4 linked regions of the Oryzias latipes genome follow. The protein of the gene in region 3 purifies or fractionates together with the protein of the main gene of each other region. This does not show direct contact. Links are inferred from orthologs where the notes say so. Each region holds a gene or a part of one and is shown on either strand. Other genes may lie near its edges.

Region 1 (4,034 bases), on a different chromosome or scaffold from region 3:
GATAGATAGATAGATAGATAGATAGATAGATAGATAGATAGATAGATAGATAGATAGATAGATAGATAGATAGATAGATAGATAGATAGATAGATAGATAGATAGATAGATAGATAGATAGATAGATAGATAGATAGATAGATAGATAGATAGATAGATAGATAGATAGATAGATAGATAGATCTTTTTTGTCATTATGTCTGGTACAATGACATTTAGAGTGCTTTTATACATTAAAACAACAATTTGCCATTATAACATGTACGACTAAAACAACATTAAATAATACATACAAAAAATATACCCCAAAAGTGCATTACTAAAAACAGAAAATTATAAATAAGTTGTTGCTAGGTAAAAAAAAAAAAAAACATATACACAATTAAAGAAAACGCCACATGACCACAGGACGATAAATAAAAAAAACATCCACCATTGCATGGTTCAAGCAGTCTAAAAGTTCTGGTTTCACTTGAATGTTTTTTTTTTTTGCCATGTTTAAAATATTAAGATGATTGTTAGTAAAGTTCTACAAGGTGTGATATTTTTTAGGTTGCAGGTTGTGTTCACCTCAATGTTATGGAATGAAGATAACAAGAGATAGAAGTTTCTTGGGCGGTTAGATAGTTTTGAAGCATCAATATTTTTTTTATCTTTTTGTTTTTTTTTTTTGCAGTCTCATTCATTCATAATGAGATTTAGAAGTTCACTACCAAACCATGAACACAGCTGCAAAGACAAATGAAATGGTATGTTTAAATGAAATATACTTAGCAAAATCAAGCCATAGGCCTTCTGCATGTTTGATTCTACTAGTCTTCTATAAATGTTTAGAACCTAAATTGTGCTTAAAAAGGAAAATAACTAAAATATTATTTAGTATTTTGTGTCCCTTTGTGCATGTTCGTTTTTCTTTTAAAAAAAAAACCTAATTGCTAATCTGTGTAGCTCCTGCGTCATAGCAAAAGTACGTCATGACGTTGTTAGTCCATTTTACGCAATTTTTGTCTGGATTTAGAATAATTATTGCACTAAGATTCTATAGTGTACTTCAGGTAAGCTATATTTACATTGCTATTCGCTTTCTGTACATATTTATTCTAACTAGCAGTACTTGAACATCATTGGTGTGGCTGCGAGGAAGCTATGATTTACGAGCAGGTCTTGAATGCAACATGATGCTTTTTTTTCTGAGGGCTGATGTCATTTCAAAACTTGCATTCTCAACTTAGCGCGGTCAGTCGCTTCCCATCTTTTCCACGGCGCAGTCCTCCCTCGCGTTTGACGGGGCAGAGTTGGTTTTAATAACGGCTTTTGAACGAGAAGCTTTAGACAAAAACCCTCATATCTGCAGGCGGTAGTAGAAGACTGATATTTTCGGCAGAAGCCAGAGAAACGGAGCCCCACTCATTACGGGCAGAGGCGGCTGAACTTTTTTTTTTTTTTTTGGTGTGTGTGGATTCTCTTTAAACTACAACCACAAGAAAATGAATCGGAGTTTTAATAAATCACAGCCTTTGCGACACATCGACTGTAACGCCGTGGAAGTGAAAAGCAAGGTGAGTGGGAGAGAGAACGGGAACTCACAGGAAAAATGGGATTGGGAGCGAAAATACAAGTTCTTGTTTGTCCTGTAACGGATCTTCGGGAGCTGTACTCGCTGTCGTACATTTTTCTTTATGGACACGGACATCGTTTTTGGTTTTGTTTTGTTTTGTTTTAGTCACAAGTTTTTAGAGTTTTGGTTTTTTAGTATTATGTGATGATTTAAAAAAAACTATCTTGCTGGCAGATTGTCATTGTGTAGCTCCAGAGTGAAAAAAAAAACTTGTTTGACAGTTTTGCAGCAAATCCTGGCTTTAGCCATACGGTAATTTTACATGCTAACCCTACAGTTACGATTTAAACTAGTTTAATCAAGTTGGTTCACTCAAATTAGTGTTAGCAGTCCGCATTGTCCGCAGTGTGTAATAATCCAGGCTGTGTAATAATCCCAGTTATGTAATTGGCTGCAGTCGTTTATGAAAGCTCCACTTTGATATTAGCTTAGCTAGTTTATATATGGGGTTTCCCTATCAAAATAATTGTATTTTTTTTTTTTTAAATGGGGAACTGATGGAAGAAAACTTGTTTTCCTCCCCCTTTGAAAAAAGCAAATAAAAAGTGTGACTTTTTATTTAATTACTACCAAAAAAGTATTACTTTTCTGAATAAATGTTGTTTTTAGTAATTTCTAATGTAGAATTTAACCAGGAGTCGTTATTGATTTTTATTTTTATTTTCAAGGACCGTAGATCTGCTTTGACAGCTAATTGGGATGTCTGAAAAATCCTATTCTATTAAGAGAAGCTTTTACTTTTTCATCTTTGTCCAGACAGTTTTAGTGGGGTGCTGGGGTCACGACCTGACCTGCTGTGAGATGGTTAGCAGATCCTCTGATAGGTGGCGGATAGCAGGCCGCTATTGCAGGATTGACCCTAAAAACAACCTGGGATGACATCTTTTCAAACTGACTTTTGATATCTTGTCTGGGAGTGTACCTGCCCATGATTTGTTTGTGGTTTTAAATGTTTGCATTATTGCTGGGATTACTCACTCACTGCGTCACAAGTTTTGCCCCCCCCCCTTTTTTTTCTTTTTTCGTTCGGACAAAACTCAACCTTCACGATTACTTTTTGTAATTTTTGGTTCAGATTCTCAATTTTTATTTTATGCCATCAAACCAAATTCCGTCCCAGGAACAGCATGCAGGATCATGAAAGGAAATAAGTGGCATGAATCCATTTGCTAAAGCAGCATAAAAATAAACATGTCTGCCACGTGGTTTTGTTATGATTGGCTTTTCTGTTTAAATATCTTTGTCAACAGAAGTAGAATCCCTATAATTATTTTAGAACTAAAAATGCAGGGATAAGAAACATTCTTTAAAATTTAGAGTTTTTGTGGTGTGTTAAATTTGCTATACAAACAAACGTCTTGTTTCTACGACGGAGTTTTAGGGCCACGGGGAGGAAAAAAAATTCTGGCCAACATGACGAGATTAAAGTCGTCATGTCGACTTTAATCTCGTCATGACGAGAAAAAACTCGACACAAAGTTTCGAGAAAAAACTCGTCCTGTCGAGATAAAAGTCGAAATAAAGTTTCGAGATTAAAGTCGCAATGTTGCGCGCGAGCAGTGAAGTTGAGTCTTTCAGGAATATTCTGTGTTATGGCTAATGTTAGTGAGCTAGTGGCTTTGTATTTAAGAGTTTACGACAGAGTTTTATGGCCACCAAAAAAAAGAAATTTTATTAGGAGATAAAAAACTCGTAAATTTACGGGAAAAAAGTCATAGATTAACAAGGAGAAAACCCCGAAGTTGTCTGTTTATCGGAGCCTAGCTTGAAGAGGAAATATGTGGAGCCTTTTGTGAAGCTTTATTTCAGGATTATAGGTTTAAAACAAAGAGATTCTGAGTCTTTTGGCGACTCAAAATCAGATTATTTTCCGTGTAGCAGTCTTTCCGGGGTTCGGTGTCAGTAAAGCGGACTTTCATATGTAAAATAAGGAGCTCAGAGACACGTTTGGGTGTAGAGGACCGCTGCAGCCTTTATTCTCCTTTTCATTCACATAACCTGAAGTTCATCTGTCACATTACGTCATGAACCTGTCATCCGATCACCAATGCGGAAGTAAACAGTGTTACATACGCCCCCTCCTGCAGATGAAGCGACCCGTTTGATCATTAAAAACAAAGATGAATGAAAATAGTCTATTATTAGCATTACAACGTTGAAAAAGGCAAAAAGTGCTTCTCCTCCTCAGACGGAAGCATCACACAAACGTAGAGATCTGGTCTTTGGTGGAGGAAGAAAGGATTCAAGCAAACAGCTGCAGGGACACCCGATGACGGCTTCATCGGGCTGCAGTGATCCTGCAAACCAACCATCAATAAATAAAACTTTAATAACTTGTAAATCAAACAAATGAGCTTCCAGACATTTGGAACGTTATCAATAAACATTCAGCTCACCTGTTCAACAAAGTTTAGTC
Region 2 (4,190 bases), on a different chromosome or scaffold from region 3:
TACGATTTGGATGAATTTAGAGGTTATTTCAGATCTTGAACTTGTTAGCTAGTTTATTATATGCTAATATGATTAATTGTGATTCAATATCATGGATTTCAATGGTTAATGGTTATCAATGGCTGTTAGCTGTGCCTCTTCCTGAGATTTCCTGACAGTTTTAGACTTACAGATGTTTTTCAGGTTAGGCTTTGCATGGATTTAAAAACAGAATCAGTGAAGTCTTATCATTCAGATAAGACTGTAGTACTGTGCATAACAAACCCAACAGAACCAATGACCTGCAGAGGGAACGCTGCTGCATACGCCTGTACTTAGATCCCACAGCTGACTGTATGCTCACTGCAAAAAAGACATTTTCCTGAATGTTTTTACTGGCACTTCCCCTCTAGTTCTCTGTCTTCCGTTTTTCCTCATTTCCTTGATTTCCCAGAGAAGTCTATGGAAAATTGTGCTTTGCATGAAAAACACGACAAGCTGGAACAAACTGCATTTGTCATGTAAAGACTTTACAAAAATAATGTGTAAGGAAACACTGAAGCATGGGCAGCTGTTTCTGTGTACACGCTGGAGCCATCTTACTCATCCCAGCTGAGCGTGACGTTGGCACCGTAGATGACGGGCCTGGACTTGGGCAAAAAGCTGTCCTGAATCAGCACAGCCTTCATGAAGAACAAAAACGCTGACAGCTCCTCAGTCGACTCCAAGTTTGCATCTCCTGCTGGAATGAGCCTGCTGTTGCTCATCTGTTAGCAGCCAGCAGATGTGCACCAGCGTGCACGTCTTTATGTACACAGGGATGAAGTTAGTGCAACTGTCCCTCACCTGCGCATGAGAAACAAACAGCCAACATGAAAAGAAAAGCAGAACACATTTGGGCCACATAAGCACAGTTCTTTGGCACTGACAGGTGAGCACAGCGCTGTAAATTCCAGCTGTGAACGCTTTTCTCTGACTTCTACGGCTCTGCAGCTTTTAGGACAACATCTGGCTCTCAAAACATGGACCGACCAAATCCTCATGCCCACAGACGCCTCCAGATGTGCGTGTCATGAGCAGGACGGAGAAGGTCTGCGGAGTCCGCTAGGGGACTGTGTGAACTCGGAAGACCAGATCCTGAGTCCCCTTTATCTCAGTCAGTGTCTTTTCATTCCGAAAACGACACTTTAAATAGAGGACACGTGGCGGGACATCCTGTTCCAAGCTTTCCTCAGAGGATCTGAGGCTGTCTGCTGACCCCTTCAGGACAGAGACAGACCATAATATCAGCACAATGTCATACCAGAGACAGCATCCACCAAAAGGAACAACTTCTCCCTGACTGGACGTCTGGACCCAAAACACACCAGCACCCTGCCGGTGGGAGGGGGTGGGGGGTTCAGCCCAAAGGTTTCAACATTCATATTTTATGAATATGGATTATTTTTGCCATTAAACTGGCTCCTGAACATACCAGCTCACACCCAGCAGTAACAGCTGGAAACAGCCTGACTCTGAAATGTTCCTCATTCATTTACAGACCCCCCCCCCCCCCCCCACACACACACACACAGACGCAGACCTCCATCACTTGCTAAATGTTGACAAGTAAAGCTCTTCAACACGATTTACCTCCAAAGCTTTTACAATCTGACAAAAGGTCTCTTCATTTTTTAAAAGTACAAAGTGTTTAGAAACTGAGATTTAGCCATGAAAAGGAGGAAAGAAAGATCTGTGAAGAAAAATCTGCTGAGCAATGAAAATAAACGGATGAGGGACAAAAAAATAAACGATGAGGGAAAATCCCCCCAAAAGATTAGGAATTTTCTGTTTTTGACTGATGGATAAACAAAGTTTTTACTGGAGTTTTTGCTGTTTTCAGCTCTAATCTCCAATGTTTTAAGGTGACATTTTAATAATAATCAATAACAATAATAATAACATCCTTTCCAAAGTGACAATTAGCAGAACCGTTTCCAAAGTCCAAATTATTTCCATTTACCAAACCGTTATGGAAACCCTGACAAATATTTGATCCTTAAGCATCACAGAGCCAGAGGAAAGTTACCAACCAGAGGTGAAGCTTTTAGAAACTGAATCCCTCATTTCCCTGAAGGTTTCACAGACAAACATCCTCAGACTCTCTCTGTCTGATCCGGCTTCTTTTTTAGTTCCACATGTTTGGTTTTGTTGTTGCTTCTGCTAAAAGAACTCTGTGTGTGTGTGTGTGTGGGGGGGGGGGGTCTCTGCTCATCCACAGAGGCCCCATGTCTGCCTCCATGGGGCTCTGGAATGAGCGGATCCGGCCCTGCTCTACCCGGATGATGCTGAACAGAACCGAGAGCAGAACCGATCCACGCGCCAGATCTCTGTGGATCTGCGGCGCGTGACCGTGAACCGGAGCGGTGGAGGCGCACCGCGCGTTCCGCCGCGGATGCGCCCCACCCTCGGTGCCGTTCCCGCCGCGCACTCACTTTGCTCTTGACCTCCACCACGCTCTCCGCCGCCCGGGTGGGCGTGCGGCTCTGCGACGCTCTGGACATGCTGCTCCGCGGCGGTCCGGTCGGCTGCGGGGAAAAGCGTCCTCCGGGACGGACACGGCTGCTTCCTCCTCTGAACGCCCCAGTCTAACCATGGAGGAGGCGGCGAGAGCGCGCAGCAGGCTTGTCGGTTTCCTGCTCCAGAACCGGTTCGGTCAGCTCCATGTCGTTCGTGTCTGCGCGCGCCCGTCCCCCCAACCAGACGCGCATGCGTGCACGCGCAGATGAACAGCGCAGAGATCGTGACAGGTGGAGTCCGGTAAATCCGGTACCCCCTCCCCCAACCCTACCCCCGACCAGCCCGGAGGACTCAGCGGAGGGGGCGGGACCATGTCGCTGCTGTCTCCGGACGAACCCGACCCCCTCCCGCCGGAGGATTGCAGACAGAGTTCACACCTGCAGCACACCTGAGGCTCAGGCACCGACATGGATGAAACCCAGAACCCAATAACCGACCGCAGAAAGAGCGTCCTGCTCGACCCCTATTCTCACAGTGTATGGACGAAAGGCTCCATGTCTGCAGCAGCACCCAGAGGACCTCCACCCTCCATCCCTCATCCTCCTCCCTTCATCCCCCACCCTTCATCTTCCATCCTCCACCCTCCATCCTCCACCCTCCATCTTTCATCCTCCATCCTTCATCCTCCTCCCTTCATCCCCCACCCTTCATCCTCCACCCTCCATCCTCCACCCTCCATCTTTCATCCTCCATCCTTTATCCTCCATCCTAGGACGAAAGGCTCCATGTCTGCAGCAGCACCCAGAGGACCTCCACCCTCCATCCCTCATCCTCCTCCCTTCATCCCCCACCCTTCATCCTCCATCCTCCACCCTCCATCCTCCACCCTCCATCCTTCATCCTCCATCCTTTATCCCCCACCCTTCATCCCCCACCCTTCATCCTCCACCCTCCATCCTTCATCCTCCATCCTTCATCCTCCATCCTTCATCCCCCACCCTTCATCCTCCACCCTCCATCCTTCATCCTCCATCCTTCATCCTCCATCCTTCATCCCCCACCCTTCATCCTCCACCCTCCATCATCCACCCTCCATCCTTCATCCCCCACCCTTCATCCCCCACCCTTCATCCTCCACCCTTCATCCTCCACCCTCCATCATCCACCCTCCATCCTTCATCCCCCACCCTTCATCCTCCACCCTCCATCCTTCATCCTCCATCCTTCATCCTCCATCCTTCATCCCCCACCCTTCATCCCCCACCCTTCATCCTCCACCCTCCATCCTTCATCCTCCATCCTTCATCCTCCATCCTTCATCCCCCACCCTTCATCCTCCACCCTCCATCATCCACCCTTCATCCTCCATCCTCCACCCTCCATCCTCCACCCTCCATCCTTCATCCTCCATCCTTCATCCTCCATCCTTTATCCCCCACCCTTCACCCTTCATCCCCCACCCTTCATCCTCCATCCTCCACCCTCCATCCTCCACCCTCCATCCTTCATCCCCCACCCTTCATCCTCCATCCTCCACCCTCCATCATCCACCCTCCATCCTTCATCCCCCACCCTTCATCCTCCATCCTCCACCCTCCATCCTCCACCCTCCATCCTTCATCCTCCATCCTTCATCCTCCATCCTTTATCCCCCACCCTTCATCCTCCATCCTCCACCCTCCATCCTCCACCCTCCATCTTTCATCCTCCAT
Region 3 (4,237 bases):
GATGCCACTAAAGGCTATAGAAAGCATTGTCATATGGGCGCTGACGACCTCACCGAGATGGCGTCGCGTTCTGCCACAGTCAGCCAGGCTTCCCAAGCGGGCGTGTCTCCTCTAACGGTATAACTCATTGGCAAACGTTTACATGTATTTAAAAAAACATACAAGATGTAACTGATGGAACTTTACAAGGCTAGAAATAATCAATAAAAACAAGTAAGCAAGTGTCTCTTTTGCATGGGTGTCACACAGAAGGTAAATTGAATGATTTGATTAAGAAAAACTGTAAATAGAAATATGCACAGCAGCAGCTGTTTTAAAAAGGGGTGGGACCAAACAAAAACAATTTTTCTGCCCACTCCTTTTCAAGCACATTGTTTTGTTTTATTTTCCTATTTTTAACTCTTGTGTTTATTTTCAGTTTGTGTTTGAAATAATAAAAAATGTTTCAAATGTTGCAGTTTCACCAGAAAACACTGAAGGCAGGTTGTAGAATTAGATTTCTTTTACATACATGTTAAAATTTTTAATTTTATACCAAAAAAGACATTTGTATATCCAGGTTTCTTGGATATTATGTTTATCTTTATTAAATTATTTCTCAAGTACTATAGCTTTGATTTTATTGGAGCTCAAAATTGCACTGATTTATGGGTGGGTTTCTTTTGACCAATCGGTGAACCCATAAGGGCTTTAAACTTTACTTGTTCCGCCCAAATGCCATTCAGGGTTTTGAGCTTATGTTGGGCTTTATGTTATCTGTGTTGAATCCAATTTGGGAGATATCTATGTCTATTTCAACATGTCTATGGCTTAACAGCAGCACTGACAGCAGTTTCACAGGAAGACTTTACCTGCTTACATTTTAGTATTTTATTATTTCTATTAGTCCGAACACTGTCAGCAGACCTGTCTAAATCAAACCGCTTATCGTCATGAAAAACCTTCTGAAGTACAACCACAGATCAGAACATTCACTTACTTGTATTTCAGCCTAAATTAAAATGTGGGCATCATTGACTGCTGTGACAGAAATATAGATTGACCAAGAAGAAAAGGTAATCAAGTTAACTGACACATGAAGAGATGCAGGATTCTGAATGCAGACAAAGCTACTGGAAAAAGATGTTCCCCAGAATGCAGTTATATCCCCTCCAGCTTCAGAAGATCAGACCTTTCAGTTCTCCTTTATTATTCAGTCTTTTTTCTAGCTAAAAATAGTGTTTTTCATGTCAGAAAAATACAAAGAAATTTAATATTACTGTCGTCACAAAAGATACAATTTAAGTTTTTGTTTTTCAGTCTTGGAGAAGAAAATCAGCAGAGCATCCATCGAAGCTGCTATTTCCAGGAGGATAGTGAATGCCTCAGGGGGCGGAGTCAACAGGGAAGTGAAGTAGATCTAAGCAGGAAGCAGCGAACCTTCCGCCGCTGAGGAACGGACAAACCTGGCCGGAGTTTTAAACTGTCCACACGCGCGAAGGTTCCGGACCAGCAAAGCGCTGTTCAGACTCAGCAGTTGGACACTTTAATTGTAACCCTGTATAAGAACAGAAGTCCCGGACCACTGGGATTCGGACTGGAACCAGCGGCTGTCTCTTTCACAGCGGCGGACCAACTGCCGCGGTGCACCAGGTGGGTCGGGGGAGGGCCCAGAGGGATTCCGCAGTGCTGATCCCGCAGGTGTATCATATCGGTGCTGTCATCCTTAAGTTATAATGGTCCGTCACGGCCACGTATTGGGCGTTCTCGGGTCTTCTTGGTACCGCCGAGATGGAGGGTTCGGGGCGGACTGCCTAATGTATAAAATCGGTAGAGCCTTCGCGACGCGGCACAGGGTCCTGGTTCCGAACAAAAGAACCAGAACCAACCTCGGTCCCGTGTTATGGTAGATTCTGTTTACCAAATTAAATCAATTTGGATACAAGAGAGAAACCCGAGGAGTGAGGTTTGGCTAGTTTGTTGTGTTGTGAACTGATTTCTGAAGTTTAGCCTCCAGTTTTCTTCTGTGATTTGATCATCAACCGGTTCGGCTCTCCTTGTTCTCACAGTTCGGCTTTTAGCTCGGTTCGCAGTTCGTAGTTTCCGACCACATTTACTCGGCAGGGGGACACTACCGCGCTCGGCAAACCCGACATGAAGAGTGGGTGTGCGGCCCTCTTGGCGATGTGACGTCTCACCTGCGGGGAAAGGTGAGTTCATGTTCCGGCTGCTTGCGTAAAACACGGAACTGTGTCTGCGGAAAGGTGTGTCCGCTGCAGGCGTGTCCTCGAGGTTCAGAGTCAACCATCTGGGGGGGTTTGCAGCCTCGGAGAGTTGACGGTCCGGTTCTGAACCCAAACCTGCAGGACCTCCACGAGTCTGAAGAACTTTACAAAGACAATATGGCAAGCGAAACAAGTTATAAAAATCCCAAAGAAAAGTGGTATAAGGACACCATTTTGGCCTTAAAAAAATCGCCGATTTCTACGCCCGTTTAAACGTAGTACTAGTACGTAATTTATGCCGTCTTGTGTTGTTTCACAAGCTGTAATGTTTGAATAAATTGGCTTAGGCCAACGGTGACCATCAGTTGTCTGTGATAGCCTGGTGGTTTAAGCAGCAGAACCATATACTTTTTTCTCATCGTGTTTCTTTTTCTTTGGGTGACTTTTATCAACAGTATTATTTTGATCATAGTTCGTTTTTGTTGTTGCTCTTCTTCTTTTTTGTTGAGACTTTTCTTGATCAGTAAACTCTTGGTTTCATTGTAGTTGTTCTTAAGAAGATATTAATATGAATTTAAAATCACGTTTTGTTTGCCTAATGAAATTTAACCATGTATTCAAAAGTATCAATGCGACCGCTGGATTCAAACCCAGGTAATTCCAAGAAAAGCATTGCAAGCACGTCATTATTCCACTACACCAGTGTTTTTCAACCTTTTCTGAGCCACGGCACACTTCAACCTTGACAAAAATCCCGCGGCACTCCGGCGTTCAAAAAAAAAAAAAAAGGAGAAATTCGGTCTGTATAGATCTACAGTCCCTCCATAATCTCAGTGCATTTTTGTGATAATTGTGGCAGAAAAAGCTGGAAGCTGCAGCTGTATTTTTAAGATGTAATAAAAGTTAAGTCAAACGATTTAAAAACTGTTTGATTTGTGGTCGTTGTGGTTTCAGGACGTTAAGAGGAGAGAGTCGTGCGCCCAGACGCTCAGTGTCGCTTTACCCCAATGCATCATGGGAGATGTAGTTCAATTATCCGCCGAACGCAGAGAGACTAGCGTCTCTGAGCTTCATTGTCTTGTTCACTTGTTCCTCGGTCTGACACCGGATTCTGTGGAAAGCTACACCGCTAAAGACGAGCTTTGGCTGGTATTTTTCTTAGAACTGAGCGACTTTTTCAGCAGAATTCAGAACAAGGAAAAGGTGACTTTAACCACTTCTGATTGGTCAGACTGATGACATGTGATTAAGATCCCAAGAATGATTGGTGGAGACAGTTAAAGGGGCGGAACTTTTCCTAACGCAGCTGAAGCTGCGGCTAAATCGTGGTACAGTCATTCTTATGAAAATGTATTTAATAGAATCAAATAAACACAAAGAAAAAAGTATTTTACGATCTTTCATATTCCCAAGTTCTTAGTGTTTTATCATGTAGGGATGAACAAAGAACTGAAATCCTGGAGATGGAAAATGTTGTTAAATCAGTTAATGAGGGCAATTTCCCACGGCACACTTGACCATCTCCCACGGCACACTAGTGTGCCGCGGCACACTGGTTGAAAAACACTGCACTACACCACCTGTGAGCACTGAGAAACTGACTTTGTCTGTCTCCTAACAAGGGCGACTTAACACATGTTGCTGTACATAGACTTATTACCAAAGATGTGTTCATCCTTGAAGTCTTTTTTTTCTTTCAATGTTTAAATGGGAATCAAGCGTTTCTGTTGTAACAGCATGTTGGTTTGGTAATTTGATGACTACAAAAAGAGATTTCTTTATTGTCTCCAATATTTATAGTTTATTAATGTAATGCATACTTGTAAAAAACCAAAAAGATGAGGAAGAGCTACAAGAAACTAACTACAATCAAAATAAAACTGTTGCTAAAAGTCGTCAGCAAAAGAAAAGGATAACAAACGCAAAGAAATGGGTGTGTAAAGCCTGGAGTTGAACTCACAATTCCAGCATGAGAAAAAGGTTAAGTTGCTTAAACCACTAGTCCATTGCAGGTAACTGATAATCTCCGTCGG
Region 4 (4,008 bases), on a different chromosome or scaffold from region 3:
TAAGTTTAAAAAAAAAAAAAAGAAACACATTGGCAATGAAGTCAGAGACAACAAACCTTTTCTTGAAAAACCACAGCTGTCTCTAATCCAGGCATGATGTTCTGCAGCAGACGGCAAGCTGCTGCATTGAGGGGGAATTCCCTGCTCGTCATCACATAGTTGTTCACCAACTAAAATACAGACGTTTTAAAATGATCTTCTGAGTAGACTATAGAATATGCTTTAACTTTTACAAGAAAAAAAGAATACATTTGCTCATCCATTCTTACAGTGTTCATGAAGTCATCATTCTTGAACAGGATCTTCAGTAGATGCCCTAACATACATTCAGGATCAGCTCTCCCTGGTGGTCAAAAGGGAAAAATACAAAAACATAGAAGAAACTTTAAACTTGTATTTGAGCAATTGTTTGTATTTTTCTCTTCTCCATACCAGGATGCCGATCATCAAACGGGTCGGGGTCTGCTTTGTGGTACTCCTCTGTCTCCTTTTCAACAAGCTCAGATATTCTGAAAGTTACCGCACATCAAGAGATTTAACATCACCTTTAACATCATAAAACACAAAAAATCAGAGACGCACTTACTTTGTAAGAAGGTTAACCAGGTCTTGTGTGCTGCCGTGCTGTTCCCTTTCCCACTGCTCCAGCAGAGCAGTCAGCTCCGCTTTTGAGTCCACACTGGCGGGTGCTGACGCCATTGTGATGCCTAGAAGGGCCTGAAGAACAAAAAGTGCACCCCTTTATTTAAATTAACAAACGGGTAGGAGCATGAAATCAGACAAGTATTGCACTGATAACAGATTTTTTTGCGCCCTCCAAGAACTGGTGACAAATATAACTATTTATCTTAACAGGCTGAATAAAGTCAATTAAACATCCAACGAGATGAACATTAAAACAGTAGGCTGAAATTCCATTCAACACTTATAAACTTTGTGTGAGGAACTGCCTCTGAGGAAGTATGGTGACTTTTCACAGGTGCAACTGGAAATACTCAGAACAAAACGGTTAAAGACTCAAAGACCCTCTCCGATCATCTTTCATTCCATTTTAGAGACATTCCTAGTGGTCTTTTAATTATGATGATGCCATGTTTTACTTAACACACACAAAAATACAAAAAACCTGAGTCACTTTTTAGGACAGTTTTAGTTTCATACTCGGAAACACATTTTTAAGCTTATTTGTTTCTTAATGAAAAAAATGCCACATAATGTTAAAAACACCAAAAACTACGGTATTTTCATTCGTGTTAAAGTTTACCAGTGAAAATGAGGGCAAATCTTTAGCTAACTATTGGGCTCAAAGTGTCAATTTTGGAGCTTTAAAAAAAAAGGGGGGGGGGGGGTCACATAATCCACTAAGGTCGGGTGCACTGAAGACTTGTTTTGGTGTAAACGAATCACGCAGAAAACAGGAACCGATAAACTCATGTAACTTTTTTGCCTGCTGGTAAATAAACAACCAGACACGTCCCTATATGACCTCAACTACCTGGTTTTTTTATTAACCCATGTAGTACTTTTTGTAATATTTCTTGTTGAAGGCATGGTTAACCCTTGTGCTATCTTAGATGACCCCACCCTTACTTTGACGTGTTCTCCCTACCATGACAAAGGTGGATAGAGGTGGAAAGATTTCATGTAATCCGTGGACACCAGTGAAGATCACAAGTCATTGAAGAAAAAAGGTTCAGTCAGAGCACTGTCTAGTGGGTCTAGATGACCCCACTCCCAATGGTAAAGTCCTTAGGATAACACAAGGGTTAATAATTACAAGAAAATTCGTCCTTTTTTAATTCTCTACTGGTAGCTTTTTTTAAACTCACTCTAATGATTTTTTGTAGCGATTTGTTCAGCACTTACTGTTTTCGGCAAGAATTAAACCTAGTAAGCAAGTCGAAAAAAGGGTTGCTTTTTCTGGTCATCTTTTTACTGCTTCCACCCGTCGTTGTTTTATTTAAATAGCGAATCGTTTTGATATTTTATTTCGACAGCTAGTGTTGACTGTTAATCGCCATAATAATGCAAGTCGTGTTTTTTAATTATCTCCTCCAAATGTTTTATCAAAAATCCAGTTAATATTTGATTTTGTATCACAAAAAAAGCGCCAGACACAAAGACTTGGGGGAAACAAACATTTCCGCTTCACTGCTTCATAACCGACTGTCTGCACGTGTGAGTTCCTCACGGGAATGCAACTGTCAAAGTTGACCCGAAGTTAATTGCTTATTAATCTTTTTAGAATTGTCATTTAGTCAGAATTGAAGTATAAGTTATTCATTTAAACGTTTTTAAAGACATTACTTTGTTTCTTTAGCTGTCCTGAGCAACACGAAAGTGCCGTGCTTCATGCGTTGTTGTTTGCTTTGTTGTTTGCTTAGCAAATACAGTTGCTTCACACGGCAGCTGAGCTAGCCTAAAGCGCTAGCTAGACACAATTGTCTCTTAAAACTCTACATTTGTAACGTACAATTGCTCACAAATTTCGGGAATTGAAAAACATCATGGTCAGATGTTTTAATGTCATTTACATTAATAAAAGAACTCGTATTTCAAAACACAAGTGGGCTTAGTACAAGTAAAAGCATCACAGATGAACCTACCTAGTGGTTAGCCAGAGCGCTAACTTTACCTTGCTCCTCCAAGTTCCTGCTTGATATCCTCGATATAAACAAAAAATCGACCTACCAAAATAAGTCCCAATTTAGCTGCTGTTTGAAGAATTATAATACATTGATTACAATTTTACCGGCGTCCCTTAATTCGCTTATTTTACAGCTTTCTGTTCACGGTTTATTATCATTATGGCGAACACGTTCTTGACGTCATTCAACTGCGACCGTCCATTGTTAATGACATCATTCGAAAAAATAAAACTCGTTTATTAGCATTTTTTATGAAAAATATAGTCAACATAAAATACAAATGCATTTAATGTGTAATTATTCAAATATAATAATTATTGAAATATAATAATTATTAAAATCATAATTGGAGATTGATTTAGTCAAAAGGTTAAATTGATAAAAGTCTCATTTTTTTCCTCCATTTGTCCCATATTTTCCCTTTATGCTTTGATTTCCACCGTAATTTCCAACTTATATATGGGTAAGTGATTTCAGTCAGTTTTACTGACCCACACATCCTGTGGCTTTGATTGCTAAAACAGAGCTCATCATCTGCTCCCACAATTACATTACAGAGCAACAACAGGTAGCAGGATAATTATCCGCACTGACTTTGAACTCATTTCCATAAACAAAATAAATGTGGGATTCCCCTTTCCATGTGTAGGTGACTTTTGTGACAGGGATCAGCTCGATGGTTTGGCGCTGAAAAGAAAATAAGGTTATTTTGAATGGATTTAATTGAGGAGATTTTGAATGAATCCAATTATACCAAAATAAATAAATAAACACCTGCCGCAAAACGCGAGATGTCTTAAAATATTTTCCCTGGTGTTCACTGACAAGACGCTGGGAAGCCTGTACCACAGTGGGATCTGGAAAGCCCATCACAGGGTACACCTGAAACAGTCAGTCACAAGCATAACATAAGCAACGGTCACTTCTTAAAATGTACATTTACTTAAGCAAAAAAATACAGAACTGATAAAAACAAAACAAAACTTCCAACTCAAGTAAAAGATTATTTTAAAAATGTAATGATTGTTTACTTGCATAAAAAACACCATTTATGACCAGATTGTATTCTAAAAAGACAGTTTAAAAGCACTGTTACCATGGGTTGGGAGTCTTTGAAAAGCTCCTTGCCAGACACTTCACGAAGATTTTCCATCTGAAGTCCACTGCGCTGTTCCACAACATAATCATCAGTGTTGTTAGTCCTGCAAGGAAATACAAAAACATAATCAATAATAGAAGGAAAATAAATGTTAACCGAATAAGATTATTATAAAGATTTCTCTTCTAAATATACAGTATAGATTGCTGCTTCACAGCTGTTCCAACCATTTCACAGTGAGGTTGATGAAGACAAGAAGCT

The links. Proteins that work in one complex are often made in the same cells at the same time.
Region 1: the proteins of llgl2 (region 3) and partitioning defective 6 homolog gamma purify together in Homo sapiens (affinity purification with mass spectrometry; 4 studies listed by BioGRID and IntAct, counting the BioPlex papers as one, with this or other methods). This does not show direct contact. The link is inferred for Oryzias latipes from reciprocal best matches to the Homo sapiens genes LLGL2 and PARD6G.
Region 2: the proteins of llgl2 (region 3) and partitioning defective 6 homolog alpha purify together in Homo sapiens (affinity purification with mass spectrometry; 5 studies listed by BioGRID and IntAct, with this or other methods). This does not show direct contact. The link is inferred for Oryzias latipes from reciprocal best matches to the Homo sapiens genes LLGL2 and PARD6A.
Region 4: the proteins of llgl2 (region 3) and dcaf1 purify together in Homo sapiens (co-immunoprecipitation; 3 studies listed by BioGRID and IntAct, counting the BioPlex papers as one, with this or other methods). This does not show direct contact. The link is inferred for Oryzias latipes from reciprocal best matches to the Homo sapiens genes LLGL2 and DCAF1.

Annotation. Positions count from the first base shown.
Region 1 is NC_019869.2:23,943,864-23,947,897, forward strand, and holds the start of partitioning defective 6 homolog gamma, read left to right. Parts: upstream 1-1,192; 5' UTR 1,193-1,487; coding exon 1,488-1,559; intron 1,560-4,034. UniProt on the Homo sapiens protein: Adapter protein involved in asymmetrical cell division and cell polarization processes. May play a role in the formation of epithelial tight junctions. The PARD6-PARD3 complex links GTP-bound Rho small GTPases to atypical protein kinase C proteins.
Region 2 is NC_019864.2:4,759,455-4,763,644, reverse strand, and holds the start of partitioning defective 6 homolog alpha, read right to left. Parts: upstream 2,843-4,190; 5' UTR 2,523-2,842; coding exon 2,454-2,522; intron 1-2,453. Other genes in the region: putative proline-rich protein 21, read left to right, coding at 2,946-4,190. UniProt on the Homo sapiens protein: Adapter protein involved in asymmetrical cell division and cell polarization processes. Probably involved in the formation of epithelial tight junctions.
Region 3 is NC_019877.2:17,364,312-17,368,548, reverse strand, and holds the start of llgl2 (lethal(2) giant larvae protein homolog 2), read left to right. Parts: upstream 1-1,382; 5' UTR 1,383-1,632; intron 1,633-1,662; exon of another isoform or gene 1,663-1,945; intron 1,946-2,048; exon of another isoform or gene 2,049-2,103; 5' UTR 2,104-2,189; intron 2,190-4,237. UniProt on the Homo sapiens protein: Part of a complex with GPSM2/LGN, PRKCI/aPKC and PARD6B/Par-6, which may ensure the correct organization and orientation of bipolar spindles for normal cell division.
Region 4 is NC_019865.2:16,283,906-16,287,913, forward strand, and holds the start of dcaf1 (DDB1- and CUL4-associated factor 1), read right to left. Parts: upstream 2,843-4,008; 5' UTR 2,607-2,842; intron 718-2,606; 5' UTR 700-717; coding exon 587-699; intron 510-586; coding exon 433-509; intron 344-432; coding exon 270-343; intron 171-269; coding exon 57-170; intron 1-56. Other genes in the region: protein SSUH2 homolog, read right to left, coding at 3,195-3,335, 3,423-3,530, 3,745-3,850, 3,975-4,008. UniProt on the Homo sapiens protein: Acts both as a substrate recognition component of E3 ubiquitin-protein ligase complexes and as an atypical serine/threonine-protein kinase, playing key roles in various processes such as cell cycle, telomerase regulation and histone modification.